6 linked regions of the Rattus norvegicus genome follow. The protein of the gene in region 1 purifies or fractionates together with the protein of each later gene. This does not show direct contact. Links are inferred from orthologs where the notes say so. Each region holds a gene or a part of one and is shown on either strand. Other genes may lie near its edges.

Region 1 (5,078 bases):
GAGTTCATCCCTATCAACAACACCAGTCTGCTGTCCATGAGACAACTTTGGGATAAGCTATCCCTTCCTTTAAAACAGTGGTTCTCAACCTTCCTAATGCTGTAACACTTTAAATACAGTCCCATATATTATGGTGATACCCAATCATTAATCTACTTTCGCTGCTACTTCTTAACTGTAAGTTTGCTGTTAAGAATTGTGATGTAGGGGTTGGGGATTTACTAGCTCAGTGGTAGCAAGGGCAAGGCCCTGGGTTCCGTCCCCAGCTCCGAAAAAAAGAAAAGGAAAAAAAAAAAAAAGAATTGTAATGGAAATACCTGTGTTTTCCACTGGTCTCAGGTGACCCTGTTAAAAAAAGGGTTGTCCAACCCCCAGAAAGAGTCATGACCCACAGGTTTAGAACCACTGTTTTAAGGTAACTGGAACTGGTAAAGACAGTCACCTACTGACTCTGAGCAAAAGGAAGCATTGTTTCTGTAATTCAATCTCACCTGCACCTTTATCTTTTATTTTCTGAGTCAAGGTCTCATTACATATTCCTAGCTATCTTGGAACTCTATAGAATAGGCTTGCCTAGAACTCACAGAGATCCACCTGCTTCTGCTTCGAGTACTAGGGTTAGCTACCTTTCTGTCTGACTTCTGTTTGTCCCCACCTCCCTCCTTTTTCTTTTCTTTTTTAAAAATTTTTTTAAGACTTATTTATTCCCCAGCTTCCAAAAAAAAAAGATTTATTTATTACATATGAGTACATATTTAATATTTATTATATCTGGTGTCCACCAGAAGAGGACATCAGATTCCATTGCAGATGGTTGTGAGCCACTAAGTGGTTGCTAGGATTTGAATTCAGACCTCCCTCCTTTTTCAAGGCAGGATTTTTCCAGTGTAGCCCTGGCTGTCCTTGAACTCAGAGCATTCTGTATCTCAGAGTACTGAAGTTATCTCTTAGCCAACTGTATTCTTATCAACTACAACAAGAGAACACTATGTGATAAACTCCTTTGTTGGGAGCTCTCTCAAGAATGGGGAAGCTGGTGGGGCTACCCTGCCATGGCCTACAACTCTAGTTAACTTCCTCTCCTTTCAACTCCCATTGCTGGTAAAAGGAGGCTTTCCTTTATGGCAGAGCCTTCAACATACCTCCTTCCCCAGAAGTACAAAAGCTTCAGATAACCATTTAATATCCTGAACTGTTAACACAAAGAAGCAAAACAACATCTGAAATCCTGCTCATTATTAAACTAACTCTTTTCAAATTCCTACTGGAGAAGACCTCTCCATTATTGTCCCAAAAGAGACAGCCAGCAAAATTTAAAGGCAAAACTTGGTGCTTCAGGAAAGGTCAAGAGACACAGAAAGGCAGCCTTTCTCAAGGTATCTTGGCTCTGTTCAGCCACATGACAACTAAAAGTTATATTAACTTCCCTGAAATAGTATCTTTTGGGTTTGTTTTTGTTTCTAATTGCACTGAAAGAGAGAGAGAGAGAGAGAGAGAGAGAGAGAGAGAGAGAGAGAGAGAGAGAGAGAGAGTGTCAGTGCTCATGCATATGTAAGTCAAAGAACAATTTGTAGGAATTGGCTCTCTCTTCTCACTATGTGGGTTCCAGGGACTGAACTCAGGTCAGGCCTGGCAGTAAGTGCTCTTACTCACCATGCCATATCCATGACCCGACAAGTGAATTTTACGATAGCTATCATGTCTACTTTTCCCCTTAACTGTTTGTAATAATTTTAACTTTCTGTATACCAAGACTCAATTTAAAAATTCACAGCTCATTAAATTAGTTCATTTTTGCATTCAAGAATATGGCTTAGTTTATAAACAAATTCATTTTGGCAACACATACACTAAAATATATCACTGGGATTTTCTACTTCTTTATGAACACAACCCAAGTTTAAAAGAAAAAAAAAAAAAAAAGGAAGAGAAAGGAAGGAAAGGGGTACAGGGAGAAGGGAGGAAGTGACTTGTAAAACCCACACACCTGGTCGTGGTAGCTGGAACCAGAGCTGCTATTTGCTCCACAAGGCGCCTGTACTTGAGGTCTTTCCACAGGACAAGCAGGGTCACTGAAGGAAGGAGAAACTGGGACAGCTGGGTGGGGAGTATGGTGGTGGTGGTGGTGATGCTGAAAATGGTGGCCATGCTGCTGAAAACAACTTGAGTGTGGATGTGCTAATGCATGGTGACTCTGTGATGTCCCTCCGCATGGTGAGTGCTGGGGGCAGCATGAAGGTAGCCTTGGCATTGCAGGAGGACCACTTTCTGGGACAGCATTTGATGCAGTTCTCCTCACGTCATCTTGAAACAGAAACAAATGGAAAAAATGATCAAATACCAGTGTATAAAAATAAGTACTGTGTATAATCTGAAAATAATCTGATGTAGAGAAGAGAGTGGGCTGGTGAGACTGATCAGCATAGTAAGGGGCTTGCTGTTGAGTCAAAACACCTAAGTTAGATTCCTGGGACTTACATGACAGAAGAAAAGAAATCACTATCACCTCAAGTTGTCTTCTGAAGTGCACATGTGTGTGCATACATGTATATACACACACACACATACATACACACACAAAATCTAATTTTTAAAATAAAAAAATAATATGATGGTAATATGCTTAACACACAGTATGCAATGTTGTGTAGTGTTTCCACTATGATTCTTCTGAGAATATAAATTCTTCAGGGAGTTCATATGTATCAAATCTGACAAAGAGATTATCTTTTCTTAGTATTTCTTAGCAATAAAGTTTCAAAAGTATCATGTGAATTCTTCCGCTCTGTTCTACAAAGAAAAGATCTTCTAAGTCCCTTTAACCAGTAACACAAATCACTTTCCGTACTGTAGTCTGCTGGGTATATTCAACTAAACTGGAAGCCGCAGTATCCACCTTATGACTATCTGGCTGGATCACTATCTCCCAATCTTTTCATTTCCTCTGCTGCCCAAACTCAGATAAAACTAATTTTGGTAACAAAATGTGACTCCAAGGAATCGAATTAATTGTTACTGTACACTGCACATAAAATGGAGGGGTCAGTAGAACAGGGGTCCAATCAGGAGGCTGAACACTTTTGCTTTTTACTTGCACAATTCAAGTATATGCACAAGCTAGAAAAGTGAGCTGTTTAGAGTATATGTTTGAGGGCGACTCCAGAATAGTCCAGGGACCATGTCCAAGGACAGTTAAACTTTATACAAGGACAGGACAACACTGTAAAGTCACAGAATGAGAGTTATCAGCTTCCCAGTGGCAGGTGAAAACAACTTCAATTATGATACAGAAGGGCCAAGGAAAGGCCCGGGAAGATGACAGGCATAATGCATGCTTTGTCACTCTGAATAAGTCAGAAGCAAATTAAAGAACAGGGATCAAACAGTGGTTGGAAGCACTTGCCACAGAGTCTGAAGACCTGGGTTTAATCCCTGAACACCAAGTTGCCCTGTAACTTCCACACTCACTGTGGTGTGAATACGCACACACGCACAGATAGATAACTTCACAGATAGATAACTTCGATAAAAAGAATGTAGAATGGAAACCCGTAGCACGCACAGAGACTGCAGGAGACCCTGTACATGCACTAGGAAACGGAACTGGTGAAGACAATAAAGACAAAGAAAACACAAGGTTAAGAATGGAGATGGGGGGGCTGGGGATTTAGCTCAGTGGTAGAGCGTTTGCCTAGGAAGTGCAAGGCCCTGGGTTCGGTCCCCAGCTCCGAAAAAAAGAACCAAAAAAAAAAAAAAAAAAAAGAATGGAGATGGGGGGTTGGGGATTTAGCTCAGTGGTAGAGCGCTTGCCTAGCAAGTACAAGGCCCTGGGTTTGGTCCCCAGCTCCGGGGGAAAAAAAAAAAAAAAAAAGAATGGAGATAGAACACAGACTCAGGGATTCTAAATAGACAGTTGGGGATCAGGCATTTAGGAAGAACAGCAAGCTAAACACACAAAGGCTTTTATGAAGCTAATATCAGGTCCTCTATTATAGAAGCACATGCCCGAGAATTTATTCTTTAACTTCCTTCCCATGAAAGATGAAAGCCTTGAGAAAAAGAACAGAATTTTGAAATTCATGGTGGCGGGGTGGGGGGCGGGGGGGGGGGGTGAGAGGGGAAGAGCTAACACAACATGAAGGGCAAATCACTACGAAGAGCCTACCATAAAGTACTCAGCACTTATGGAGGCAGCGGCTTGCACATTTGGTCATTAACTGCGTCATTTAGTTATTTGGATATCAGGTAGTTAGCTGGCTTAAATGATTCAAAGTAGAAAACCTGTATGGATCAGGGAACAAGTGATAAAGCTGAAAGCTGAACGGACAATTCCATATGATCTTGAATGTGAAGAGGAAACACAATCCAACTGCTTTAATTCAGTACAACTACATATGCCACTTTATCAAGTTTCTGTATAACAATTTGGCTTGGGACAATCATCTGTCTCAAAAATTGTATAGTGTAATATCAAGAACAAACTGTCAGGAACTACAGTGAATTTAACACCTAAGAAATGAAACAGAAGTTACTAAAAATAAGTAGTCATGTATAATACATAAATGAAAGCTGTAAGGTAATTATGAAATGTAGGTAGGAAGAACAGTATTAATGCTATCAAGAGAAAAGTGAATGGAGAGTTGAAATCCTTACCACAAAGATACTATGAACCCCAAATTAAGTATTTAGCTTTTAAATTTTCATCTTATATAAAATGGGAAATATAATGCAAATACCAAGGCATTTTTAAGTATTAAATGACAACATGAAATCACATAAAAGGGGTTAGAGCAATAGCTCAGGGGTTAAGAGTTCTGGCTGGGGCTAGAGAGATGGCTCATTGGTTAGGGGCACTGACTGCTCTTCCAGAGGTCCCAAATTCAATTCCCAGCAACCACATGGTGGCTCACAACCATCTGTAATGGGATCCGATGCCCTCTTCTGGTGTGCTGAAGATGTCACAGCGTACTTGTATACATAAACTGAATAAATAAATCCTTTAGAAAAAAAGTCTAGTCTTCTACAAGGCCCAGATTCTGTTCCCAGCAACCACATGGTGACTTACAACTGTCTATAAC
Region 2 (3,996 bases), on another chromosome or scaffold:
CGGTGACCAAGGCGATGCTGGCCCTGTCCATGTGTCCTGGGAAACTCTCAGAGAGAAATACCTACCCTGACCTTTGTTGGAAGACTGTGGGATGTGGGCGCAGTTTGGGTAACGATGTTGGGTACTTCCCATAAGTGAGCCCAAGCAGTCATTCAGGCCAAGGGGGACCTGCGGGAGCCGCCATGGCTTGGTACTGCTCTGGGTTCTCAGAAGGTGTGATTTCTGCTTTGGGATGTGTTCACTGAGGGCTTGCTGGAGAGGAGAGTGTGTGTGTGCTCAGAAGTAGTCTGGGCAAGAGCAAGGGGGAGGTGTAGAGCTGCCCTGTGTGCGGCTGGAGACAGGGAGGAGCAAGCAGGGGTCTCCCTGTAGTGCGTTGAGGGGACACCCACACACTACCATTTATCTGGGCTGGGCCATTAACCTCAACAGAAAAGGGCTTTTTCCTGGGGATGTCTGGCGGCAAATTGCTGGGTAAGACCGTCTGTGTAGATGAAAGAGAAACCCAGGCAAGCTTCCCTGCATCACTCCCTCTCTCCCCACAGACCTCAGGCCATCCAGCCTTGCCCAGTCTGCGCTGCCCCAGAGGCTTGCCTGGCAGACAGGACCCTCACCCCTTGCTCAGGAGGCCTGGCATGGGGAGCAACTTGATCCCAGGCTCCTCCTCCCTCTTCTTCCTTCCCCCTACCCTTGCTGTGTGGTGCCAGGTTTCAGTGGGGCTGGGCCACAAGAAACAAAGCCTTGTGAGGCCCCTCTTGAGAGTCTCCCCAACCTCCTTCCCTCCCTTCAGCCGCTCCCCGAGTCTTCCTTTCCCCCACGGCCCGGTTTCTTGACCCAAGTTTGGGACACTTTGGGGAAACACTCTTGTGTCCCGAAGTGTCTTACTTCGTTGGACTAACGTGAGGGGATGTTGGTGCGGCCTTCGAGCTGAGCTCCCTCTGCAAGAAAGTTCAGAGATTGCCTGTGCTCACTTTATTAGCAGTTGATGGATACTCTGCAGGAACAAGTTAATGCCTGATGACTCACCTTCTGCTCGGAGCCCTCGTCCCTCTCTTGTTTCTCGTCCTTTCTAGAGTGTGCGGGCACAGACACTCCACCATAAACACACACTCAGACACACATGCGGTTTGTATACTGGGTGGTGTAGGTCCATGGCGGTGGGGGCAGGGGACAGCGCAGGTTTTCGATGTCGATTTTTTTTTCCCCCAGTGGCCTGGGGATTCAGAAAAGGAATCCACCACCCTGTCTTGGCATCCCCTTTGTGCGTAACTGGGCGTGGATTGGGGAGGCCAGTTAGAGGGGGTGTCTGAGGTAGGGGACAGCCACTCAGGATTTGGGTGTAGGTGGCTACCTTTGTGGGTTGTACAAGTGTTCAGACTCACTCACACGTGGGACTCCGCACCCACTGCTGCTTTGAAGAAATAAAATAAGAAAGCAAGCAGCGAGCTGACTGGTTCCCAGGTCCTAACATGCCTATAAAAGTTGGAATGGATTGATGTACCAGGCTGCCCTGGGTCACCAACAAGGCTGAGTTTTCTTGGTCCTGCCCGTGGACGGGGACAGCCCTCATCATGTTCTGAGCCCAGAAACGACAAAGGCCTCGAGGACACACATCCCCCATGCAACTCCATCTTCAGGGCCCTCCAAACTTACAGGGGTGAGAGAGAGGCAGGAGGCTTCTGAATCTGCCTTGATGTTCTCCCCTCCCCCCCAACTCCTTCCCCCTCTTGCCTTCCCCCATTTTTGTTAGCAAATACAAGACTTCCGCTCTCCACCCTGCCGCCACAAACCACAGCGTTCCTGCAGCCTGGCGGGCCGGGGAGATTTATAGGCCTCAGTCTGGGGCCGGTTTTCTCTTGGCTAGAGTGAAGGGAGGTAGTAGGCTGCCCATGCAGGGGGAGGGACTTTACTTTCTTCCACATACCCCCTCCCTAAAGTTCACAGAACTCTTGTTTAGGAAAGCCAGGCCTCCAGGCTTTTGTGGGCTTGGTGGGGGGGCTTGAGGGGACGGGTAGGTGGGTGAAATGCCACAAAGGGCAGTGTGGGCTGTGCAGGGTCAAACTGGAGGAGAAGGGAGCACGTCAGGGAGACAGACCGGCAGAGGGAGTACATCAATGATGGTCACGTTTAATTTAGACATGGCATCGTCTGTCTGGGCTGGCTGTGGTCTAGGCTGATGTCCACCTGCATGTTGTAATTTGGCATTTGGCCTTGAACTAATAACCTTTTCAAAGCCTACAGGCTGCTGCTGTCCTACAGATAGAGTTGGTTTGTGTCAGGAAGATGACTTTAAAAAAAAATAACACCTTCAGACCTCAGAGTCACCCTCATCTTTATTTGTACCAGCTGACGTTCCCTGGTGAACAAGGCATGTGAGAATCGGATGACAAGCTAGTACAGAGGCTGTGTAGGCCACCTGGCTTCACAGTCTGATTGGGTCAGCACCCAGTAGGCCAGCATCTATTATCCAAGTCTTAGGGGAGCAGGGAGTAGAGAAGCTGCCCTCCAGGTTCCATCCATGGGAAGCAACTCTTAATCTAGGCCATTTCTGAGGCCTTTGTCAGTGGTCCCAAGGTCTGTGCTTCTCGGGGACCAGCAGGTGCTGATGCTGTGGGCTCAGATAAAGAGGAGAGGGAGGATGACAGCAGTAAGCCCTGTATTTTAAAGGTGGTTTAAGGCTCTTCCCCCCATTAGCACTACAGACCCTACAGCTAGCCCAGGCTTACCTCCCCCCACCCCCTGTTTATGTTTTTAGACAGCTTATGGAGACTAAATAAGCATTGAGTTCAAATGCGTACATGTGTGCCCTTTGATTCTAGAAGGAGAAAAGAACCCTGGTCTCTGTCACCACTCACCGCGTCTGACATTTTGTCTTGTAGATTCCCAACTTCTTCTGGAGCCTGGGGATCGGTCACACTGGTGCGTGGTGGCATACTGGGAGGAGAAGACTCGAGTGGGGAGGCTCTACTGTGTCCAAGAGCCCTCCCTGGATATCTTCTATGATCTACCTCAGGGGAATGGCTTTTGCCTCGGACAGCTCAATTCGGACAACAAGAGTCAGCTGGTACAGAAAGTGAGGAGCAAGATCGGCTGTGGCATCCAGCTGACAAGGGAAGTGGATGGCGTGTGGGTTTACAACCGCAGCAGTTACCCCATCTTCATCAAGTCCGCCACACTGGACAACCCGGACTCCAGGACGCTGTTGGTGCACAAAGTGTTCCCTGGTTTCTCCATCAAGGCTTTTGACTATGAAAAGGCCTACAGCCTGCAGCGGCCCAATGACCACGAGTTCATGCAGCAGCCATGGACGGGCTTCACCGTGCAGATTAGCTTCGTGAAGGGCTGGGGCCAGTGCTACACCCGCCAGTTCATCAGCAGTTGCCCGTGCTGGCTGGAGGTCATCTTCAACAGCCGGTAGTCTCCCGGTGTGGGGAGAAGAGGACAGGACGGAGGGGTGAGCCGAGCAGGCCACCGTTCAAACTACTTGCTGCTAATCTTTCATGCAAAACTCTTTCGGTCGGTTTTGTTGTTTGCCATTCATTGTTGGTTCTGTTTTGTTTTGTTTTCCTTTTTTTTTTTCTTCCTTCTTCTTTTTCCTCCTTTCTTGTCACTCTTGTGTCCTGTGTGTCTCGTTCTTTGAGAAAATATGATGCGGATTTTTGGTTGTGTTTTTGTTTGTTTGTTTGTTTGTTTGTTGTTGTTGTTTGTGTTTTGAGGTGGTGGTGGGTGCGGTTGGCAGGACACCCCGATACAAAAACGGGAAGCAAGAGTCAGCACTGCCAAGCGTGGTGTGCGAAAGTGGGTACCACCTTCCCCTTTGGATCAGCATTTCAGTTGTCAGTGTGTGTGTGTGAGGGGGGTGTACGTGAATGACAGATGGGGGAATGGCGTGCTTTTTTTGTGTTCTTTATGGATGTCCCCAGCTGAGAGGCTTGCAGTTCCAAGCTGTGTGTCTCTCACTGTGTGTCTCTCTCATGAGCCTTTCGGACATGCTCGGTG
Region 3 (5,078 bases), about 7.0 Mb from region 1:
GTAGGCACGGGTGTCAGCAGAGGCAGGCAGGAGGCAGGGGTGGTTCCATGTTCCCCTCTTCTCCATATTGTGGGCATACAGCAGGCTCTTGGGCCCTGATTCTGCCACATCCCTGCCGGGAATGATCAGTGGCTGGAGCTTCCCTAACGATGTTTTTCTTGGCACAGAGGACCCTGTGACCCTTCTGCAGGGCCTCAGTGCCGTCATTTATTTTGAAAGCGGAAATAGCAACACTGTCTCTCTCCTGGCCCTCCCAGCCCATAAGGCTGGCACACCAGCAGGGTCCCTAAAGGGTAGGGGTGGCAGAGGGTGAGGCGAAGCAGCAGGGGGGCTCTGTACATACCTTGAGCTTTGGGCTGGGCAGAGAGGGAGTTGAGGCAGTAAATAGAATGTGCTCCATTGTCAGAGTGCCAGTGTTTCTAGAAGCCCCTCATTTACATGCAAATAATGTGTGAATCACTGCCAAGCACTCTGGGCATCCAGGGAAGCTGTGCTTGGCCACGCTAGGACCAGTCAGGGCAACTTTTGCTTTCGGGGCAATGATCCAGCTGTGTTCCTTTTAGAGTGTTCTAATTTGGATGTGGCTTTCACTCTGGGTTGGTTTACTGGACTGAGGTTGGCTGTGGCCGTGTCTTGGGTCAGAGCACATGCAAGCAGAGGCCAGCTGTCTGGCTTCTCAGATCCTTGCAGGTAGCGCTGGCCTCCGGGGGGTAAGTTGTCCACTCCCTGTCAGGGGCAAACCATGGAGGGCTAAGGCAGGGTGGGAGGGCAAGGCAGAATTCTGAGAAACAGATCTCTGAGGGAGCCACCACTGAATGGCACTCTCACTGGAGAGTTAAGCCACATCCCCCTAAGACAGCAGTGACCGGAGTGTCCAATCTGTACAGGGACAGGCTCAAGGCCACAGCTCCTCAGGGGACAGAGATGGTGAAGGAGGCTCTAAAGCCTCCCTTCTTAACCTGACCTTGAGGGATAGGAACAAGTCAGCTAAGTTGTGGCCCTAGAGCAAGGGACTTCAGAGTTGGGAGTCAGTGTGTTAGGATTCAGGTTAGGAGGCAGAGGGCAGAGGTGGACAGGCCTGAGCATGGCTGAGTCCAGGAGCTGACACTTTTCCTGTGAGGCCCTGCTTTCTTCTAGGTGCCCTGCATGATATATTGGCTCCCAAATGGACTGCCAGAGCCAGTCTTGCATTCATTTTAATAGAACTGCCTGCCTTTTCGTCCCCCAGAAACCCCACCTCCTGGCTACCTGAGTGAAGATGGAGAAACTAGCGACCACCAGATGAACCACAGCATGGACGCAGGTCAGTAGTGTGGGCAGTGCCTGCAGCCTTGTCCCTCCCTTCTGCCTTGCTGCTTTCTCCCTCCCTAGTGTCTGTAGAGTAGCATCCCTGTGTGCCTCATATATCCCTCTGCAGTGAGGACACAAAGTAGTTTTACTGACAGTGTAGTTAGGTCACCTGGGTGTGGTGCTGGCAGAAGGTGGGAGATGGGCTCGAACGCTTGAAGCAGTGCAGGAGGGCAGGGAGGAAAACATGGATGGAGGAATAGCCTTTTCTGGTGGCCAGCAAAGACACCAGTAGTGACTTCTTTAAAAAGAAATATCTATCTACTGATGTGTGTGTCTGTCTGTCTGTCTCTGTCTCTCTCTATGTAGTGGCCAATGTGATCAGTGTGTCCCTGCTGGGAGGGACTGAGCTAGTTCTATCCTGCTATGCTCCCAGATGTTTCCCATGTCATATGTTATGTGACCAAATTGGTTCCAAACCAGCAGCTTCTTGAACAGAGCCCCAGCTGCCACACGGGACCTGTTCTGCATTGTGTAGTGGGCAAGGAGAGAGAAAGGGGCCCAGCAGCTGTTCCATTCCCACGATGGGGGGACTGCCTCACTCTCGGACTGCAAGAGGTTGCACAATCCTCAAAAGGGTGAAAAGGGATCACATGTGTGCTAGTCACTGGGGTGTTACACTTTTAGGTCAAGCACACCCCCCAACACACACCCATCCAGGCATGTGGCTGGCAGCACAGACCCAGCTGGAATGCACGGAAGACCTTCCTGTGCTCTGTGCCAAGTGACTGCTGAAAACTTGCAGCTACAGAGTGCTGGCATGGGAAGTGAGCCAGCTAGGCAGCCTCCCTCCAGCTGCAGAGCTTCTCACAGCCCGCTCTCTCCCCCTCTGTATGTGTACAATGACTGTAATAAACAAACGTCATCAGAATGGCCTGTGTGGGGGGAGGGCCAGCCATGCATGCTTTCCCTGGCTCCAATCTGCTTGCTCCCTCTGCTTTCTTTTGTCTCATTATGCTGTCCCCTCTCCTACACCTCTCTGTCCCTGCAAGGCTCTGTGGGAGCTAGGATTTGTGTACTCAGCCAACCTAGGCATGGATGGGTGGAGGTCTTTCTTTGTTCTTTTTCTTCCAAGTAACCCATTTGGCTCCGAGTCCAGTTGCTCATGGACTTGGCTTTCCTACCAGGTGAGATGTGGAAGTGTCTCTGGTTAGAGGGTCACCCAGGTCACCCTCAAGTCTCCCCTGAGAGCACATGTGTCCTTTCGACTAACCTTAGACCTTCATGATTTGAACTACCATAGAAATAGGAAACAACTATTGAATGCTTCCTATATGCCAAGCCTGGCAATTGTTTGTTTGTTTTTAATGTAACCTTCTATTTACTTTATACAGGTCAGTAGATGATAATGTCTCTACTTTATATGAGGGGGAAATGAAGGCGCAGTAATGTTAACATACTTTGGCCCAAACCACACGGGTGATACGTATTTGCAGCAAGCTGGCCAAGCCCCACTTGGCCTCTGAAATTGTTCTTTATCTCCACTGGGGCAGGTGCCACCACGGGAGAAAAGGAAGCCTGTGACCCATTCTTGGCCCTCTCAGAGCTCAGAACTCTGTTGGGGTGAAATAAAAGAGCCCCAGGGACAGCTCAAGGCAGCTTCAGGGCTCAGCCTCAAGGTCTGGTGGATGTCAGGGGGTGGGGTGGGGCCACAAGACATTCATAAATAACTAACTATGAGCTGCACACGGGCCTACAGAAAGGCAGACCTGATCTCTCTCTCTCTTTCTCCCTCCCTCCCCCCTCCCACACCCACACACTCACACCCACACACACACACACACACGTTTTCTTGGTAGCTAGGGATTGAGAGAAAATCAGAGCATGAATTATTAGACGTCACATGCCCTCTCCTGCCGTGTACGAAGGATCAAATAAGCTGCTGAGTTGCAGCATTTCTGAGGCAGATCTGTGAGGATGGAGGCTACCCTCCACAGCACACATAGGGGCTCCTTGTCTTTGCATTTCCTCAGGAATAGTCAGTCTTCCCTGAGGGCAGGTGTGTGAGCTGGCCTAGTTGGGCCCACCAAGGCCTGCACTGGAGCCTTGCTTAGGTGCTAAGGTGGAATGTGTTTGAGGGGCCTTTAAAATTACCTTCAATCTGTCTATTCCACAGATAGGGCATCATGGCTAGATGTGTAGTTGGGGGGCTCATGAGGTTAGGCCCAGGCTCCTGAGACTCCAGGCTTGGTCTAGGGTCTCCTTGTAGCATGGCGAGTGATCCTGTCTTGGTAGTGGAGTACTCCAACAATGTCTTACAACTGTGTCTCACCTTGCAGGCTCTCCAAACCTCTCCCCGAATCCGATGTCCCCAGCACACAATAACTTGGGTGAGTAACTATCCATCTTTAAGGTGAAGGCTGCCACACTCCTGGCTGTAACTCAACTGATTGCCTCAGTGGGAAGGGACAGTTAAGGTGAGCCCTGCCCCCTCCTTCACCATCAGCACAGCCCAACCCGAGGGGTTTCTGGTTACAGTGATCCTTGGGTCACCTCAGAACAGAGAAACCCGAGAACAGTGGCCTGTAGGAAAGACAGTCTATGCTGAGGTTCGTATTTCCCCTGGGAAGCGGTCAGACGTGAGTGAACAAAAATCTCCCAGACTTCAGGCCCAGGAGACAGGGGCCTCGGTCAGCCAAACACACGTGTGTGGCTTGGGGCAAAGCCACAGGCAGCTGCCCAGACTCGGCCCCCAGCTCCCAGAAGCTTGTTTCAGACACACATTGGTATTTCAGCTGAGTTATATCGTCTCATAATAACTTGTTATTAAAACAGCAACATATAAGGAATTTGGGGAGAAAGCAATGTGCCCACGATCGCACTGCCTAGCACAACTGTTTTATCGTGGTCTGTCTGGTACTGGTGAGGGCAGTGTACACATGTGCTCCATGCTGCTGAAACCAGGGCTTGTCTGCCTCTCCCAGTCTCTGCCTCTGTTTCTCTGAAAATGTGTCTCTCCATTCGAATGTCTTGATTAGCACTGTGTTATCTCCCAGTGTTTATATCAGCTGACCCCACTGTTCCCACAACAATGTTCAGCTGTTGGACTGCAGGTCAGTGTTCTGAGGGTCACCCTGCCAGCCTGCTAGCATCCCTCCTGTGTGGGAGAGGGAGGCTTTGCAGAAGTCCTTGGGGCTAGAAACGGCAGAAGGGCTCAAAACAGATGTGACATCCATGTTTTTATCAAAGGTAGCTTTTGATTTTCTGGTTTGTAGTTTGGAAAAAACAAAACAAAACAAACTAAGTTTGGGTTCATGGGGTTGGGAGTGTGGCGTTAGGCTAGCACTTGCTTTTCGGCTCAGGAAAAGCAGCTGATCATGGTAGAACCCTTCAGAGTGGAGTACGTTGGACAGGCTGTGGTGCCCACTTGTTTCAAGACCTTGGCAGATATCAGATAGAACTCGTCATCTAGAATATTGGGAGATGGGTAAAGAGCCTTTGAAATATGCCGATGTGTGGGTGGAACAAAACAGGACTTAGAGATACAGTTTAAATCTTTGTAGCATAATACCGCCGGGCTTGGCTGAGGGAAGGTCATATCCCTGATAGTGAAGGGACTGCGTTATTGAAAACAACCTGAGACTATAAGCCATTAAAGGCCAATTGTGAGCTTGACTCTGGGCTTCCCCTTTAGGATTGCTTTAGATTTATTTTTGGAGCATTTCATCCCACCATGGTCAGGCCAGTACCCCTGTGGCAGGTACTTATCTGTGAAGTCATCAAGGTCACAG
Region 4 (5,078 bases), on another chromosome or scaffold:
TCTGCCAAAGCAGCAAATGCTTACCACTGAGCTGTATGTATGTATGTATGTATGTATGTATGTATGTATGCATGCATGCATGCATACTATACCATATGTATGACTGGTACCCATGAAAGCCAGAAGAGAGCATCGGTTCCCCCTGAAACTGGAGTTGGAGATGGTTGTGAGTCACCTTGCAGGTGCTGGGAACTGAATCCAAGTCCTCTGGTAGAACAGCCAGAGCTTTTACCCACTGAGCCATCTCTCTAGTCTCAAGGGATATAGAGTCAGCATTTCTGGGAGCTTCTAAACAGGTGTCATTCCATGATGTCCCCACATCAGAGCTGGCTCACACCTGGAGAGACTGTTCCTGTCACAAGCCAAATTCCAAGTCCCTTCCCATCACTGCTGTTTAGTGCTCAGGGCTCAGGGCTGGCACAGATTTCACAGGGGATGCTCAGGAGCGAGGCACCGAGACGCCGTAGATGTCTTCCAGATGGCTGTGGCCCTTTGCGTGGCACAGAGAGCAGGGCCTAGCCTGCTTTACTGCTGTTGGCAGCTGTTGAGTTTGGGTGTTCCCTCATAATCCATCCTGTTGTATTTGTGTGTTTAAGGGCCTAAGTGACAAGAAACCCTGGCACTAGATAGGCTGAGAGCCTGGCTGGAATCAGGCCAGTCTCATTTCCTGACACTTGTTCCTTCTGTTGGCCTCTCCTGCCTCTGTCTCTAGGAAGCCTGCCTGGGTCTGTCCTGTGATATGGGTACTGTCTGCATAGCCAGGGACATAGAGCAGAATTGCTGTGTTCTCCCATGGCTGTTTGGTGGTCGCTTAAAGATGGTTGGCAGCGTCTGGGGCAGTGACCAAAGCACTATAGGAAGTTAGGCTCCGTGTTATGATTGCAATCTGATGTGACCCTGACCCTGAGTCATCAGCCAGCATTTGAGATGACCCCCCTCCCCCAACCCCACACACACAAAATCAAGGACAAGAAACTGGATGTGGCTGGAAGGATGGGAGCGCAGGCACCTTGGGGACAGTTTCTGGGGCAGACTCTTGTTAGTTTTGTTTTGGGGACAGGGTCTCTTTATTAGGTAGTTCTGGCTGTCGAGGAACTTGCTGTGTAGACCAGGCTGGCCTTGGACTCCCAGATCTGCCTGCCTCTGCTTTCCTAGTGCTGGTGTTAAAAGTGCATGTGTGCCCTTCACCCTGGCTCTGACTAAAGAGGGGTTATCTTGGGGTGAAGAATGGCAGTGAGCTGCTTCTCTCAGGACTGGAAATGAGTGGAGGCTATCAAGATTCTATAGCGTGTGAGGTGAGCAGATGCTCTGTAGGGACCCCCAGTGGTTCTCAGCTTCTTTGTGGGTATCTGGTTACCATGATCTTAGCAATGTGCAGGCCTCTTTTAGAACCCCCAACCCACTCCACTGCCTCCACAGTATTAGCCAAGGGGACCACTGCCTCTGGCAAGTTGCCTCGTGAGGTTTCTCCAGACCTACCGTCTTTGCTTCTTGGGCATAGGCATCTTCAGGGTGCACTGTCTGTCCGGTTCAAGCCCTCTACTTGTGCTGTATGGTTCCTGCTGGCCACAAACCCCTGAGGCTCTGCCTGGCAGTTCTCTGTACCATCTGAGGCTAGAGGAGAGTGTTAGACACAGCAGCCATATTGGCCACAGCTCACCTGAATGCCAGCCTCCACTGTAACCCGTAGGCCCATGTCGTCCTGCCCTGTTTCTGCCCTTGGGCAGCATGAGTGTCTCAAGTGCTCTTTCTGAGGTTTGGAGGTGGAGGTGAGGAATTCTTAAGTTCCCTGTAGGTCAAGAGTACACAGACTCAGCGATGGGGGGTGGGGGTGGGAGTGGGGGTGGGCGTATATAGCTGGCTCCTCATCTGCTTTGGGATCTACATATCCACAGCCCTGCCTGGCCCAGCCCTTCCTGCACAGGTGCAAAGGTCACACTCAGTGACACCTGTTCTCTGCGTCTTTGCCCTTGGGATGTGGAGGAAACAAGCACCACTGTCTGAAGCTCCAGAGAGGAAGTAGCCACAGGGCATTGCTGTGGCCAGCTCAGCTGGCTCCTCCCCTGATACAGCCTGATAATAGCCCTTGGTATTGGACTTTTGGCAGCAGGGCTGTCTCTTGTCAACCTGTTTAGCTCCTGGCTTTAGCATATGGGCCCAGAGCTCCCCTCCTGGCTTATAGACACTGGGATGGTTTTGAGGCCCCAAGAAAGGACAGGATCCAGAGGTAACTGACTGGTCCTAACCATTGACTGACTCCTAGGACCCCTAGTATCCATGCTATAGATGGTGGTATCCCAGGTCTGACAAAGCTTTTTCACTGCACCCCTGTCAAGCAGGACCCCTGTCAAGTGACCCTTCTTCAGGGTCCTGTTGCTTAACAAATGCCCTTCAGCTTCCCCCTTATGTGTACAGCTAGTTTGGTATTAAAGGGATTCCTGGCACCGTCTAGTTTTAACACTTCCTTGTTCTGTAAGAGTTCTGGTTGCCTTTGGACTTTGTATGAAAATCTCAGGAGAGCTGTCCCAGCTACCCTAAGACTCCTCCACTAGCTCCAGGGGCTTCCCCATCCGATGTGTGAAGCAGCTGGGTTACCTTAGGAGACTTTGACCCCAGTATGGTAGTCTACCACTCCCCCCGTCTGTGGCCCTTCTGAACAGGAAGCAGCCTCACCCAGTGGTCCTATTCCCCAGCATTTTCTGCTGGGTCACAGTTTTGAGGCTGCCTGAGCGGTGTCCCAGACTAGACTTGTGGCTTTCTCTGTGAGAGAATAGAAACTCACTTTTTGCACCTGTTCCAGTGTCTGCTCAGACAGGAAGCCCCACCCTGGTGTGCAACACCCCCCTTCTGCCTCCATTGTGAGAGGGATCCTTGCAGTTCCGGAAGTGGGTTCTTCTACCCCAGCCAGCATCCTGGGTATCTACTCCTTCAGGGAGTACACACGGCCTCCGCTGACAGATCCTCTGCTAAGTGACAGCTTGACACTAAGAGTTATTCCCTCTAGAAAGTGGTTTCGGTGTCTTTTCTTCTTGAACAGTTATTTGTATGTGTCTGGGAACACCAGTGTCGTCCCAGGCACATGCATGCCGCCAGGGGGGCTGATCGCCCTCTCCAGGTTTCCTAGTAAGAAACCTATCAAGCTGGCACCTTGGCTGCCTTCTTCCTCTTTGCAGGTGTTGTGATAAAAGCCCTGTTCTTCTGTAGGCCGGAGGGCTCTGGCTGGAAGTCTCACTTTAGCTGCATCCTTCCCATTACACCCAAGGTAACGAGGCTGTGCGTGGGACCGAGGTGTAAACCCTGTATGCCTGCCTTGGGGTCTGTGTCATCTCCTTAGGCCCTACCTGGGGGACAGCAGCTTAGCTCCTCTAGTCTTATCTGCTCTGGGAGAGGCCCATGCTGTGATTGTTCTGCAGGTGGAACGCCGGTGTGTGTGTGTGTGTGTGTGTGTGTGTGTGTGTGTGTGTGTGTGTGTAATGTGACACTTAGGTGGAGGGTCATTGGATTTCACATACAGACTGGCTCAGGTGTGCACCACTTAATGCTGGATGTCAAACTAGACCACAGCTGGTGCCCAAGATAAGTTAGGGTACTGGCTGGCTTCTGTAAGCTGACAGCAAAGGCAGTGTGGTGACACCTGGTTAAGCTATTTTGTGAGGTATGTCATGGTCCTTCAAGTTGAATATTTCCTTCCTCTGGGGAGGGGGTAGCTGTGGTAACCGTAATGCTCTCCAATGAAGCAGTGATAAAGGATGCCCAGAGGGCAGCCCTCTTGGGTTCCTTACAGGCTGCTTGTTGGGTCACACTTGAGCCTGGAGTCAGTGCTGGGTCATTTAGCCCATTCCTGATGTGGCCACAGAGTGGGACTGAAGGCAAAGAACCTAAGAGTGCTGTGGAAGCCGGAATGGGTCTTGGCGATCCACACAGCACCCGCTGCAGCTGTGATGAGGTCACCTCAGAGCAGCCCACAGCAGCACAGTATTTCTCTGTCTCATGGGACGCCCTCGTCCCTTAGCAGACACATCAGGCTTACCTTTCTGCACAAGGCCAAGGTGCTCTGTGTTTGTGGCTCTGAGGCTCCTTCCTAGCTGTGGAATTACAATGGTCCAGTGGAGAGCTTGCTACTATGGGGCTGGTAGGGAGACCAGACCCTGCCTGGGCCCAGGGATCCCAACAGGGCCTTTTGTGTTGATCACAGGTCTCAGAGCCCCCAGCTTCCATAAGACCCAAAACAGACGACACTTCCTCACAGTCCCCTGCGTCTTCTGAGAAGGACAAGCAGTCCACTTGGCTGCGGACCTTGGCTGGTTCCTCCAATAAGGTGCTATGTGGGAACCTGTCTGGGGTCTTTGGGGAGGGAGTAAGGCCCTTCTTAAGCCAACTCTGGCTCTACTCGGCCTCAGGGACATAAAGTGGCTTGTAGTTCTGTAGTCATTTACATGGGTTTTCTTGACAGAGCCTCGGCTGTGCTCACCCTCGCCAGCGCCTTTCTGCTTTCCGGCCCTGGTCCCCTGCAGTGTCCGCAAGTGAGAAGGAGACGTCCCCACACCTACCAGCCCTGATTCGAGACAGGTGAGCAGGGATGGACAGGAGAACTGAGCTCTGGTATAAGAGGCCTCCATGGCATCAGTGCCCTTAGTCCTAGGATAAACTGCCTAGAGTTTTGAAGTCTTGAATGAAGATGCTGGGCTCACAGACAGTACTAAGAGTTCGCTTCTGGCGTTCAGGAGGCAGAGGCAAATGAATCTCTGTGAGTCTCAGGCCAGTCTGGAGTTTATAGCAGATTCCAAGTCAGCGAGGCTTGCATGAAGATTGTGCCTCTAAAAACATGAAGGTCTAGCTATGTGCTATACTAACCCAACCTGCAGGAAAATTTGTGGTTCTCGGTCATTTGAATCTGGACCTCGAGAGTTAGAGTGGGGAGAGGTCCTGTGTCCTGGCTGACTGAGCAGGGTGCATTCTATAGCTCATGTAGGGATTTGAGAGGCAGATATACCCCGGCTAAGCATCTGTTTCCTTTAGCTTCTACTCCTACAAGAGCTTTGAGACAGCTGTGGCCCCCAATGTGGCCCTAGCACCAC
Region 5 (4,975 bases), on another chromosome or scaffold:
AACCGTCTGTGCTTTGTTTTAGGAAGGGGAGTGCGCTTGTATTACATAGGTGGGGAAGTGTTTGCCGAGTGCCTAAGTGATAGTGCGATCTTTGTGCAGAGCCCCAACTGTAACCAGAGATACGGCTGGCACCCCGCGACAGTGTGCAAAATCCCACCAGGTAGGAGTCGACACGTAACAAACCTCATCCCACCGCCTCCTTAACTTTGCTACTTGCTAATGGCTTTAGAAGTGGGAGCTGATTTTGTATGCTCACTCTGAAAGCATAGATCCTTTAGAATTACTCTCTAACAATGACAATAGTATATTTACTGTTTCTTAACCATAGGCTGTAACCTGAAGATCTTCAACAACCAAGAATTTGCTGCTCTTCTGGCTCAGTCTGTTAACCAGGGTTTTGAGGCCGTTTATCAGCTGACTCGAATGTGCACCATAAGAATGAGCTTCGTGAAGGGGTGGGGAGCAGAATACCGGTACGAATCACACGCTCAAGTTTCTAGTTTCTACCCTGATTCTCCTTATTCTCTTCTTTGCATCTTCTGTAGTTCATTTGTGTTTCAAAAGATCTTTATATAAAATAGTAGAAGACAGCTAAGCGTGTAAGTCGGTGGGACGCTTGTGTGTCATGTGGAGGTGCGCGCTTTAATCTTTGGAAACACAGAAGCCAGGTGTTGTGGTATACACAACACAGAAGCCAGGTCCGGGAGTTCATGGTCGTGAGTGAATTACATGAGGCTGACACTTAGTGAAAGTTGGAGGCCCATAGATAAGAAACTTGAAATGACTGTATTATAGGAGAGAAGACTGAACTGTATGCAAACATGCATTTTATAGAACCAGAGGTGTCTACTTTGTACTCAAGGGAAGCTTCCTGAGTGGAGCAACCTAGGTCCGGTTCTAGGAGATGCATGTAGGGTTTCAGGAGAGCAAAGGGCAGTGTGGAATCTGGCAGTCTGGCAGCAGAGTTTGATTAGAAGTAGGATAAAAGTTAGGTCAGCAGGTCAGTTGACAACAGCTGGTTGTAGTCCCCCTCACCTGTGGTCTCGCTTCTCCTTACCCCAGTCTGCTGAGTGTACGGGATCTCCAGCCTGCTACACATGCAAGCATGGCAGAAACCCTCATGCAGGTGCCTGTGCTTGGAAGTTGCCTAGAGCATCCCGAAGACCCAGGGGTTACTTGAGTTGATACCACGGGATAAAAAGCACTACATACATGCTTGGACACTAAGCTCCCCTGCAGTGCTTTTTTTTTTTTTTTCTTATTTTTTTTTTCTTTTCTTTTTATCGGAGCTGGGGACCGAACCCAGGGCCTTGCGCTTGCTAGGCAAGAGCTCTACCACTGAGCCAAATCCCCAACCCCTCCTGCAGTGCTTTTAATTATGTGTGTATCATCGTGTGTGTGTGTGTGTGTGTGTGTCTGTGTCTGTGTCTGTGTGTCTGTGCGTGTGTGTCTGTGCGTGTGTGTCTGTGCGTGTGTGTCTGTGCGTGTGTGTCTGTGCGTGTGTGTCTGTGCGTGTGTGAATGGCATTGCCTGTGAAATCCAGAAAGGGTTGTAGCTGTCTGGAGCTGGAGTTGCAGGTGTTTATAGTTGCCAGATGTGGGTCCCGGTCACTAACCTGGGTCTAACAGAGCATCGCATACTCTCCTGCTGAGCCTTCAGCCCTATGGCTGTCCAGTCCTCAATGCTGTCAGGCATGGATTGTTTAAAGATGGAGACCTGATAATGTTCTTCGACCATGATTGAAGAATGTCATGTTGAAGAAGCAAAAGTAAATGTATTGATAACTCTTTGTAGCAAATAAGATTCAGGGAGTAGGCAGTGCCCCCTTTGTTAAAGCCTAGATGGTTTTAATTTCACTTTTTAAAGTAGAAGCCTGAGGGGTGTTACTGACAAGGATGTTGCTTGTTGTGAGTCTTAGAGAAACTTTAGCTTCAAATCTTAACATTGTGTGGTAAGGATTTAGATTGGGTCAGCAGACTTTAAAATTGAACCTTGTTCTGGTGTAGGTTTCATTGATAACATAAAAGTAGGGGGTCATATGTGTCATTTTCCTTGGGGCAATCTTTCCTGGTTTTTGTCTCTCGTCCCGGCCTCATTATTAAGTACCTTCCTCTCACAGGCGTCCCATTTGAGGTGGCAGGTAAATAGCAGTGTCAGTAGACTCATTTAACTTCAGGAGAAAGGATAGTTTGTAAATCTTTCAAAAAGGTGGACTTCTGGGGAGATAGCTTGGTTGGTAAATCTCAAAAGTTGGCCACTACAAGGACTTGAGTATGAAGCTCCAGCATCCACAAGACCCGGACACAGCTGTGTCTAACATCTGCATGGGGTGGGATGGGGTGGCTGGGACTGAGGACCTGAGGCTGGGGGACAGATGGACTCTGGGAGCTTGCTGGCCAGGCAGTCTAGCCAGAATAGGGAGCTTCGGGTTCAGTGAGTGACCCTGACTCAAGGAAACAAAGTGAAGTTGAGGAAAACATCCGACTCCCTTCTGGCCTCTGCGTGCACCTAGAAACATACATATGTACCACACATAAAGAAATAAAATTCTTAGGGGCTGGGGATTTAGCTCAGTGGTAGAGCGCTTACCTAGGAAGCGCAAGGCCCTGGGTTCGGTCCCCAGCTCCGAAAAAAAAGAACCAAAAAAAAAAAAAAAAAAAAAAAGAAAATTCTTGAAAAAGGAAAAACTCATTAGTTCATTTTAGCAGTAAAAATTAACCATTTTAAAATTAATAACTATATATAAAACTAATAATTATTCTAAAAAAATATTTTATTATATATAGCCTTTTAATTTTCTAACTTTTTGTGTTCTTTCAAACAGGAGGCAGACAGTAACAAGTACTCCTTGCTGGATTGAACTTCATCTGAATGGCCCCCTGCAGTGGTTGGACAAAGTATTAACTCAGATGGGATCCCCGTCAGTGCGATGCTCAAGCATGTCCTAAAGTCCGTCAGCAGTGGAGCTCATTGGAAGACTTAACGTACCAACTCCTCCGCCACAGTACTCGTGTGTGATCCCGTGGACTGTGCTAGTCAAAACCCAGAGCGAAAACAGCACTTGAGGTCTCATCAGTTAAAGCACCTTGTGGAGTCTGTTTCCTACATTTGAATTTTAGATGGGAAATTAGTGTCTAGAAATGCCCTCCCCAGAGGGGACAAAGAAGACTTAAAGACTTAATGATGTCTCGTTGGGCATAAGACAGTGTCCCAAAGGTTATTAATACCAGTAGTAGTTGTGTACAGTAATGTGTCCAGACCCAGTATTGCAGTGCTCTGCTGTTTGTATACCTTCTTAGTGTGCATAAATGAGGTGTGTGCTGCTGCTTGGTCTAGGCAAGCCTTTATAAAATTACAGTACCTAATCTGTTATTCCCACTTCTCCGTTATTTTTGTGTCTTTTTTAATATATAATATATATATCGAGATTTTCAAATTATCATTTAGAAGCAGATTTTCCTTGTAGAAACTAATTTTTCTGCCTTTTACCAAAAATAAACTCGTGGGGGAAGAAAAGTGGATTAACTTGGAAGTCCTTGACCTTAATGTGTCCAGTGGGTCTTAGCATTCTTTCTGTGATCATTTTCTGCTGAATTGCATTAGAAGGAAACCTTGTTGGAAACTTCCAGGCTCTTTGTGCCATTTCTGTTCTGATTCAAAGCAGTGCAGCATGATGTCATTGTGGTAAATAGTTGCACTGATGGCTTCTGGGTTAGTTACTTCTGAGTCCAGTAAAGGATTGTGTGAGCAGTAAGTCCTTTTGTCTTCTAACCAGACTTCAGCAGATGATAACCAGTTGTTCCATTGATTAACTTTTGTCTCAAACGTGCACAGGTGACAGTATAATTATTTTCAGGGCTATTCTAGAATCATCTCAGTATGTTTCCTTCTTCCAACGCCAGTCTGATAATAAAGTATCTTTCTGTAAAGGCAGTCAGCTTTTGGCGTCATCTCACTTTACTACAGGTTGTCACAGAAGAGACCTTTGTTAGCTGATGCTGAAGTGTCATCAGCAGATAGGGCCATCTGTTCCTAAAGTGTATCGTCTGTAATTTATAATAAATAGAATGTTATATTGCCTAGTTTCAAAATTTTAAATATTGTGAGCTAAGCCGTTCAGCAAGATTTCTAGCCCGCAGTTAGCAGTGGACTTCACTCTTCTTGACTAATCCTGGGTGTGTGGTTTACTGACCTTTCTGCTCTGCAAAAAGGTGATCCCAGCTGTCCTGTTGGCCCTTTGCTCTGCAGCACACAGCAGTCACGTCCAGTGCTGATTCCTTTGTTTGCAACTCCGTACAAATGGAAAATACTTCCCAATCTCCTCTTTGTAAACTTTCATGTTTTTGCAGACAAATAACTTTGGTACTTACTCTCTGTGACCATACTCTCATGTATGTACAGTAATCATTTTTGATGCTTTTCAACATTTGGTTTTCTACTTGATATTTCTCATTTTCCTATATTTGTGTCTGTATGTTCTGTGTTGTAAATTTGGTAGAGTAATTTTTTATTCAAATATTTATTGTTCACCTGTTAATGTGCCATGAACTCCCTTAACCTTTGGGTGAAGGTGAACAAGAGAGCTGTAGTTCTGCCTTGCTAAGATAGCACTGCTCTCACACATACTGCAGTGTCTGCATAGGGGTAAACAGGGTATGTTTAGAGCATGGCAGGGAGGATGCTATTGATAGGACAATGGGAAGGCATCTGAGCGAGCGGTGCTTAAGCTAACACCTGATAGAAGGAGAAAGTGCTATGAAGAGTCAAGGTCAGTTTAACTCTGCTGGGACAGCATCTAACCCAGAGGCTCAGGCTCTGAGACGCACCGTCAGGTATCATAACTGCACATACCCACACGTGAGGATGACAGTGGTGGTTCTGTGTAGAATCTGTTGAAGGTGGGACTGCCTTGTGATAGGCTGCTTCTGTCATCTCCCTGTCATCTCTTCCTTTGTTGTGCAACTTTCTCACACCA
Region 6 (5,718 bases), on another chromosome or scaffold:
TTCTTTTCTTCGGGTGTCCCTAGGTATTTTTGGTTCACATGAAGGTAACAGTGCCACTTGGCTGACTCAAAGCCCCAATGGCAAGTTCTCTTGTCAGGGGATCTGTGTGAATGCATGACGAATGTCTGAGGAGCAAACATTCCACAGCACTCCAGACACTGGATACAGGGAGCATCGGGCTGAACATAAAACTGAGGTGCAAAGAGACCCTGACATTTGCCCAAGCACTCATGTTCCACTTCAAAGGCACTGCCAGTCTCCTTCAGCTGGGCCCAAGAGCTTTTAGCAGGAAGTATGCTACCATTTTGAGGAAAAGTTCGTGGCCTCAGTAAAGCATTACAGAGTCTCTGTGCGTCAGTCAACGTGATCAGCCCACAGGAGGGGGCATTGAATGGAAGTATACCTAAGACCTTTAAGATATGAAGCTGGTCTGAAGTACACCTTGAACAATAGATGTAGAGCTCATCGCATACTGTGTTTATTTGCTGGAGTGAAAATTCTCGGAGAACAGAATTTAAGACTTGGGGCAAACACAGTCTCTTTTCTCCTCCGACTTGAAAACAAGAAATAGACTCCCCTTCCAAAACAGTCTGAGTGAGCTCTGTGGAGCTATCAGAAGGAATAAGAAGAGGACCAGGAAGAACCTGAGGAGACGGAAGAGGCAGGAACACAGTCGGTGACATGCTTTCTTGGGAATATCGAGCAGAAAAAGCTGCTGGTCCACCCAAAGAGCTCTGACTACTTAAATGGAATTGTGCCAGTGTGTGTTTCAGACTGGGGTTTAAATTTAAAGTTTCAGGTAGAGAAGGACAGTTGCGCTTGGCGTGCTCGCCATCTGGTTCCACTGACGCATCTCCGTAGTCGTCCAAATGCTCCTTCTTCACCTGGGTCAGCGTTTTCCCATTGGCATGAATGTCTGTCATCATTTTTTTCACGGGAGGACTGCCATCATCCTCCATCCCGCTCAGCTTTTTATTTGAACCCTGAACTAAGGAGAAATTAGACTGCAGGTTTTCCATGGCCACACCGGTGTTTTTAAATAATTAAGTCTTCAATTGGCATGTTGTTCTCAGTTCCTAATTTGAAGAGAAAAAGGCAACGTATACAAATACTTGTGACTCACTTAGAAATGTTTAGTTTCCAAAGATGAATTTTCTTGCTCAATAGATTGTACAACTCTGTTTCGGTTCAGCCGTTTCTCAGGATGTAACTGAAAATACTACAAAACTTCTCAATTCGCTTCTAATAACAAAGGGTATAATTGTCAGCACACCCCTGAGAAAAGTCTTGTTTTCTTGAGCACTTCAGCTATTTATGTTAAAATAAAGCTAATTCCTCAGTTCAAGAAGTCCAAAGTTTGGTATAGTGGTTGAGTTTGGTTGGTTTTGTTCTTTAAGCAAAGCATGTGGAAAGTTTATGCCATGACTGTATCCTGAAACTACACCCAAACACGAGTTACAATGATGCAATGGTTTTAGTTTTTGCCAAGAACACCAAAAAAGAAGAGGCAGGTATCCTCACTGAAAATGGTGGTCTGTGGCTCTGTGCTGACAAACTGAAGACTTGTCTAAATCTCCACACAGCAGGAGCCTGGCTCCACCTGAACTTTTATAATTAGCAATATACATACACTAAGTAAAAAAGCTGCCCAGTTTATCTTCAGGGATTACAGTTCATTCTTCTTTTAATTGATCTGGAAGAGAAAGGGGTGGGGAGAGTTACATTTGAATTAGCTCCAGAGGCCAAAGGGTCTGTTTAAAACCAGTTTCTTAATCTTAAACTCAGTTCACTTTGCCAAAGGTAACACTTGGGTGGTTTCTTCCAACCTAACACCAGTTATCTAAAAGAAACTTCATCTAAATAGGAAGCAGTCCAGACCGTGGGTAACAGGAGCATTAAATAATATCTCTCCAAACAAGGAAGAGTACACAAATTTAGAATACGGATAACCAAAACGCAGTAGCAGAGGCTTTCTCAACTATGCATGCCATTTAAATTTTAAAAAGTAATCCTTTCTCTTCAGAAAAAAGAACCCTGTAGTTTCTGCTCTCCCCCCACCCCGCAAAAGATACATGTTAATATACCTACCATATGTAATTAAGTCTCAAGCAGATTAATTCATCTAGTCAATATATACTATCTTTTTAAATTGAAGAAGAAGAAAAACTTTCCCTTTAAAAGGTTAGCGAATTTGCTTAATGGAAGCCAAAAGCTGTAAGACTCCATGCCTGGAAATCTCCATCCTTTAGCAAGACTAATCCGGGACAAAAAGCACAAGGCAGACAGACCTCACAAAGAATGCAAATGGAGGCAGAGTGGCGAAAAAGAGTATTCATCCACTTCCCTCCCTGGAGAAAACCCAATAAAAGCCGATAAATAAAAACCTTTGCTTCTAAACTCCCAGCAATTTATGTTAACACAAACCCAGAGAATTACGGACGAAAGCCACCTAGCCACCGTACTGTGACTTTCGCCACTACAGGGACACCTCAGCCAAGGCGAGCCAAGGAAAAGGGCAGGAGGCATGACCTAGACCAGGGGCGCCCCCGCAGCCCTGCGCACACGCAGAGACACCCACTCATCATCAACCCGAAGGACCGGGAAGCAGAGGACTCCCGACGTCTGGTGAGGTGAGAGGGGGCAGAGGAAGTAGGAGTCCTCCCAACCCCCACCTCTGTGACCGGGATCACCCTAAGTGCCCTCCCCACATCGCCCCACTGCGGGGGCCGCCGGTGGAAATCCCCCACGCACTCGGTCCGCGGGAAGTTCTCTGGGGTTACCTCTGCGCCCCAGGGCTGCGCCTCCCCACCACTGACCCACCCTGAGCCGTAACACCCAGAGGGGCGCAGGCAGGTTGGGCGCCAAGCCCGGAAGCCTGCGTCGCTGGACGCTCAGAGATGGGGCCAGCCCGAGGCATCCCCGCCGAGCGCAGACGGCCGGGGGATGGCGGCGATGACCGGTGTCCAGGTCTCCCGGGTCCCGGCGGCTCGGGTCAAGTGCACCGCCATCCCCTCCCAGCCGACCCGTCCTAGAATCTGCGAGGCCTGTACACCCGTGGGACCCCCGCCGCGCGCCCTGTGCCCTCGACCCCGCCCGGGACCCCACGCATCCCGGACGCCCCACTCAGGCCCTCGGCGCCCGGACAGCCCCACGGGCTCTGTGGCCTCCCCATAACCCCCCCGCCGCCGCCTCAGCGCCCCCAGAGGCCGCACGCCCCTCACGTCCCCTCGCGACCTGCGGCCGCACCTGTGCCCGCCGTCGCCGTCGCCGTCGCTCGCCCGCCGCCTTCGCTGTGCCGGCGCCGCTCCGAACCCCACACACATCGCTACACACAGCCTCTGACGTCACCCGGCCCGCGGCCCGCCCACGTCACTGCGGAGACACGGCTTCCCGCAGACGCCGCCGCCGTCTCCGGCCGCCCGGGGGACAGCGAGGGCGGCGGGCGGGGGAGGGGAGGGAACTAAGCCAGCGGCGCCGCGCGGCCCCGCGCCAGCCAGTCCCTCGAGCGCGCGCGCCGTCTGCCCTATTGTGGCTCCTCGCGGTCTGCGCGCTTCAGGCTGCGCGCGCCTCTCCGGCCCTGGCCGGGGCGCGCGCCTGGTGCCTCCGCCGCGCACGCGCGTGCGCCGGTCTCCCGCTCCCCCGCCCCCTCCCGCGCGTGCCCCGCGCTGCTGGCTGGCCCGGCGCGCCGTCTGGGCGGCTGGCGCACGGCACTGTCTGCGGTGCCCGGCGCAGACAGGATGTTCCCTCGGCCCCACCCCCGCCGCCCTCCTTCCTTCCTCGAGTCGCCCAGCCGGCTGTCTGGGGCCGCCCCCGCCACGCCCGCCGCCGTGTGGTGACGGGCCAGACCTGGGGGCGCCCTGGCCGCTGGGCCGCCGCGCGGCAAGGCGGGGGTGAGAAGGCGGAGAGGGGGTAGGGCGCGGCGGGCTGCACTGTGCGCGACCCCGGCAGCTGGCCGCGCCCGAGGTCAGACTCGGCCAACAGCCCCCCACCCCCGCGGCCGCAGCTGGCCGCCTGGCCCCGCCCCGGAGGTAGCCTGCGGGTGGCTCCCCGCCGCGACCCCCGGGCTGAGCCCGCCGCGCAGACGCCCCCGCGCTGCCACCCTCCCCGTTCAGCGCTGCCACCTGCCCCCGTGCTCCCCCCGCGCTCCCTCCCCCAGCTCTCCCCCCCCCCGCCGGCGCGCAGACGTCGCGGGGCCTCTCGCCCCCGTGGGGCCTCCCGCCGCGGCCGCCCTGCCAGCTGCTGGCGATCAGCCCCGCCTGGCCGCGCTGGGGTGGCCTCACCCGGTCGCCTCCCGGGCCGCCATCGCCCGGGAGGCGGAGGTTTCAGCACCGCCGGGGCAGACCTTGCTGCCCCAGCTGCTCTCGTCCTCCATAAAGTGACCGGTTCTAATTCACTAAGCACTTTGGTTGGGGTTTTCGGGCTTTTCCTTTTTTTTTTTTTTTTTTCTTTTTTCTTTTTCTTTTTTTTTTTCCAGAGACGGTAAGAGGTGGGGGAAGATAACCACTTTCGGCTGCCACCTCGAACCGCCGGCGGGGGTGGATGAGGGGACTTCCTAGCCAACGTACCCAGGATAGCTCGAATATTCAACTCTGTGAAGCTAGCCCGTCATATTTCGAAACACCAAGAAATCCCCTTTTCTCCACCCCACCGCAGGATCAGGAACTGAAATAGCGCAGCGAGTAGCACTGCGCAGACTTAGGGAACTCAAGCTTCGGCGACGGCGGTGCTCCCCGCCCCCACTCCACCCCTCCTTTTTATTTTCTTTTTTTTTTTCTCGCCCAGTTTATTTTACCGCTTCGGGGTTACTCATGTTTGGGTCCACATTTGCAGCTATCCAATTGGGAGTACTTTTGTGCTTGAAGAATTTTCGTCCTTTTTCACCCCACAATAGGTCTAACAAATGTCACCTCTCATCACCGCCCCCGCCCCAGCTCCTGTCGGCCCCCATCTCCGTGCTCCCAGGTCATGCCCCTCTCCCACCTCCTACTCGCCCGTTTCTTGACTGCCTGTGTGAACATGAATAATTCCACAGCACTTCCCATCTGTTATTGCCATAGAGACAGAAGCTCAGCAAAGATAATGATGTTCTGTGCAGAGCCAGTGTGGGGAGAGCAGCATCTGCGAGTCTCGGGGAATAGATGTTCTAACCGCCAGGATATTCAGAAGGCTGGCTGGAAAACTGAGGCGCAAAGCCAGGACAGTCCTGAGACTGAGCGCCTGGTCACCTCGCACCTGGCTCTGGATCTAACCAGAAGAAACAAACTTAGAAACCAAGATAACTGAGGGTGTGTGTGTGTGTGTGTGTGTGTGTGTGTGTGTGTGTCTTAAGCAAGTCTGAGACTGCAATTAATGGTAAGTATTTAGTAGTCCTCTTACCAGCCATGAAAGTAATTACTTGCTAGCATGGCCAAGGCCTGAGAAACAGAATTAATTAGACAATAGATAGTCTTTTTTAGAAAAACCAAATACATTATCTCTCTGTTCTTTTGTCCTCTCCAGGAATCTGTTTTTGAGAAAAGAGTCTTTTGTGTCTGTGATTTTTATGTATAACAGTTGAGACACTAGACACAGCCATGCGGCTAGAATCAATCAAAACCAAGCTTTGGGTATTTTTTTTTACCACTATTCTTCAATTACGAAATAAAATTCACTTTGCCCTCGAATTCCCTGGGTCTTAGCCTAAAGGTAAAGGTAGGATGTGAGTGGAACTAAGCGAGG

What was found.
Region 2: the proteins of Rnf111 (region 1) and Smad7 purify together in Homo sapiens (affinity purification with western blotting; 3 studies listed by BioGRID). This does not show direct contact. The link is inferred for Rattus norvegicus from reciprocal best matches to the Homo sapiens genes RNF111 and SMAD7.
Region 3: the proteins of Rnf111 (region 1) and Smad3 purify together in Homo sapiens (affinity purification with western blotting; 5 studies listed by BioGRID). This does not show direct contact. The link is inferred for Rattus norvegicus from reciprocal best matches to the Homo sapiens genes RNF111 and SMAD3.
Region 4: the proteins of Rnf111 (region 1) and Ski purify together in Homo sapiens (affinity purification with western blotting, with the first as the bait; 3 studies listed by BioGRID). This does not show direct contact. The link is inferred for Rattus norvegicus from reciprocal best matches to the Homo sapiens genes RNF111 and SKI.
Region 5: the proteins of Rnf111 (region 1) and Smad2 purify together in Homo sapiens (affinity purification with western blotting, with the first as the bait; 3 studies listed by BioGRID). This does not show direct contact. The link is inferred for Rattus norvegicus from reciprocal best matches to the Homo sapiens genes RNF111 and SMAD2.
Region 6: the proteins of Rnf111 (region 1) and Skil purify together in Homo sapiens (affinity purification with western blotting; 3 studies listed by BioGRID). This does not show direct contact. The link is inferred for Rattus norvegicus from reciprocal best matches to the Homo sapiens genes RNF111 and SKIL.

What each region holds. Positions count from the first base shown.
Region 1 is NC_086026.1:80,004,632-80,009,709, forward strand, and holds part of Rnf111 (E3 ubiquitin-protein ligase Arkadia), read right to left. Parts: intron 2,305-5,078; coding exon 1,988-2,304; intron 1-1,987. UniProt on the Homo sapiens protein: E3 ubiquitin-protein ligase. Required for mesoderm patterning during embryonic development. Acts as an enhancer of the transcriptional responses of the SMAD2/SMAD3 effectors, which are activated downstream of BMP.
Region 2 is NC_086036.1:71,286,836-71,290,831, forward strand, and holds part of Smad7 (mothers against decapentaplegic homolog 7), read left to right. Parts: intron 1-2,876; coding exon 2,877-3,415; 3' UTR 3,416-3,996. UniProt on the Homo sapiens protein: Antagonist of signaling by TGF-beta (transforming growth factor) type 1 receptor superfamily members; has been shown to inhibit TGF-beta (Transforming growth factor) and activin signaling by associating with their receptors thus preventing SMAD2 access.
Region 3 is NC_086026.1:73,037,381-73,042,458, reverse strand, and holds part of Smad3 (mothers against decapentaplegic homolog 3), read left to right. Parts: intron 1-359; exon of another isoform or gene 360-710; intron 711-1,228; coding exon 1,229-1,303; intron 1,304-3,626; coding exon 3,627-3,677; intron 3,678-5,078. UniProt on the Homo sapiens protein: Receptor-regulated SMAD (R-SMAD) that is an intracellular signal transducer and transcriptional modulator activated by TGF-beta (transforming growth factor) and activin type 1 receptor kinases.
Region 4 is NC_086023.1:171,001,823-171,006,900, reverse strand, and holds part of Ski (ski oncogene), read left to right. Parts: intron 1-3,173; exon of another isoform or gene 3,174-3,262; intron 3,263-4,195; coding exon 4,196-4,318; intron 4,319-4,453; coding exon 4,454-4,569; intron 4,570-5,019; coding exon 5,020-5,078. UniProt on the Homo sapiens protein: May play a role in terminal differentiation of skeletal muscle cells but not in the determination of cells to the myogenic lineage. Functions as a repressor of TGF-beta signaling.
Region 5 is NC_086036.1:72,183,308-72,188,282, forward strand, and holds the end of Smad2 (mothers against decapentaplegic homolog 2), read left to right. Parts: intron 1-22; coding exon 23-160; intron 161-328; coding exon 329-473; intron 474-2,824; coding exon 2,825-2,948; 3' UTR 2,949-3,933; downstream 3,934-4,975. UniProt on the Homo sapiens protein: Receptor-regulated SMAD (R-SMAD) that is an intracellular signal transducer and transcriptional modulator activated by TGF-beta (transforming growth factor) and activin type 1 receptor kinases.
Region 6 is NC_086020.1:114,200,279-114,205,996, forward strand, and holds the start of Skil (ski-like protein), read right to left. Parts: upstream 3,295-5,718; 5' UTR 3,247-3,294; intron 1,694-3,246; 5' UTR 1,020-1,693; coding exon 1-1,019. UniProt on the Homo sapiens protein: May have regulatory role in cell division or differentiation in response to extracellular signals.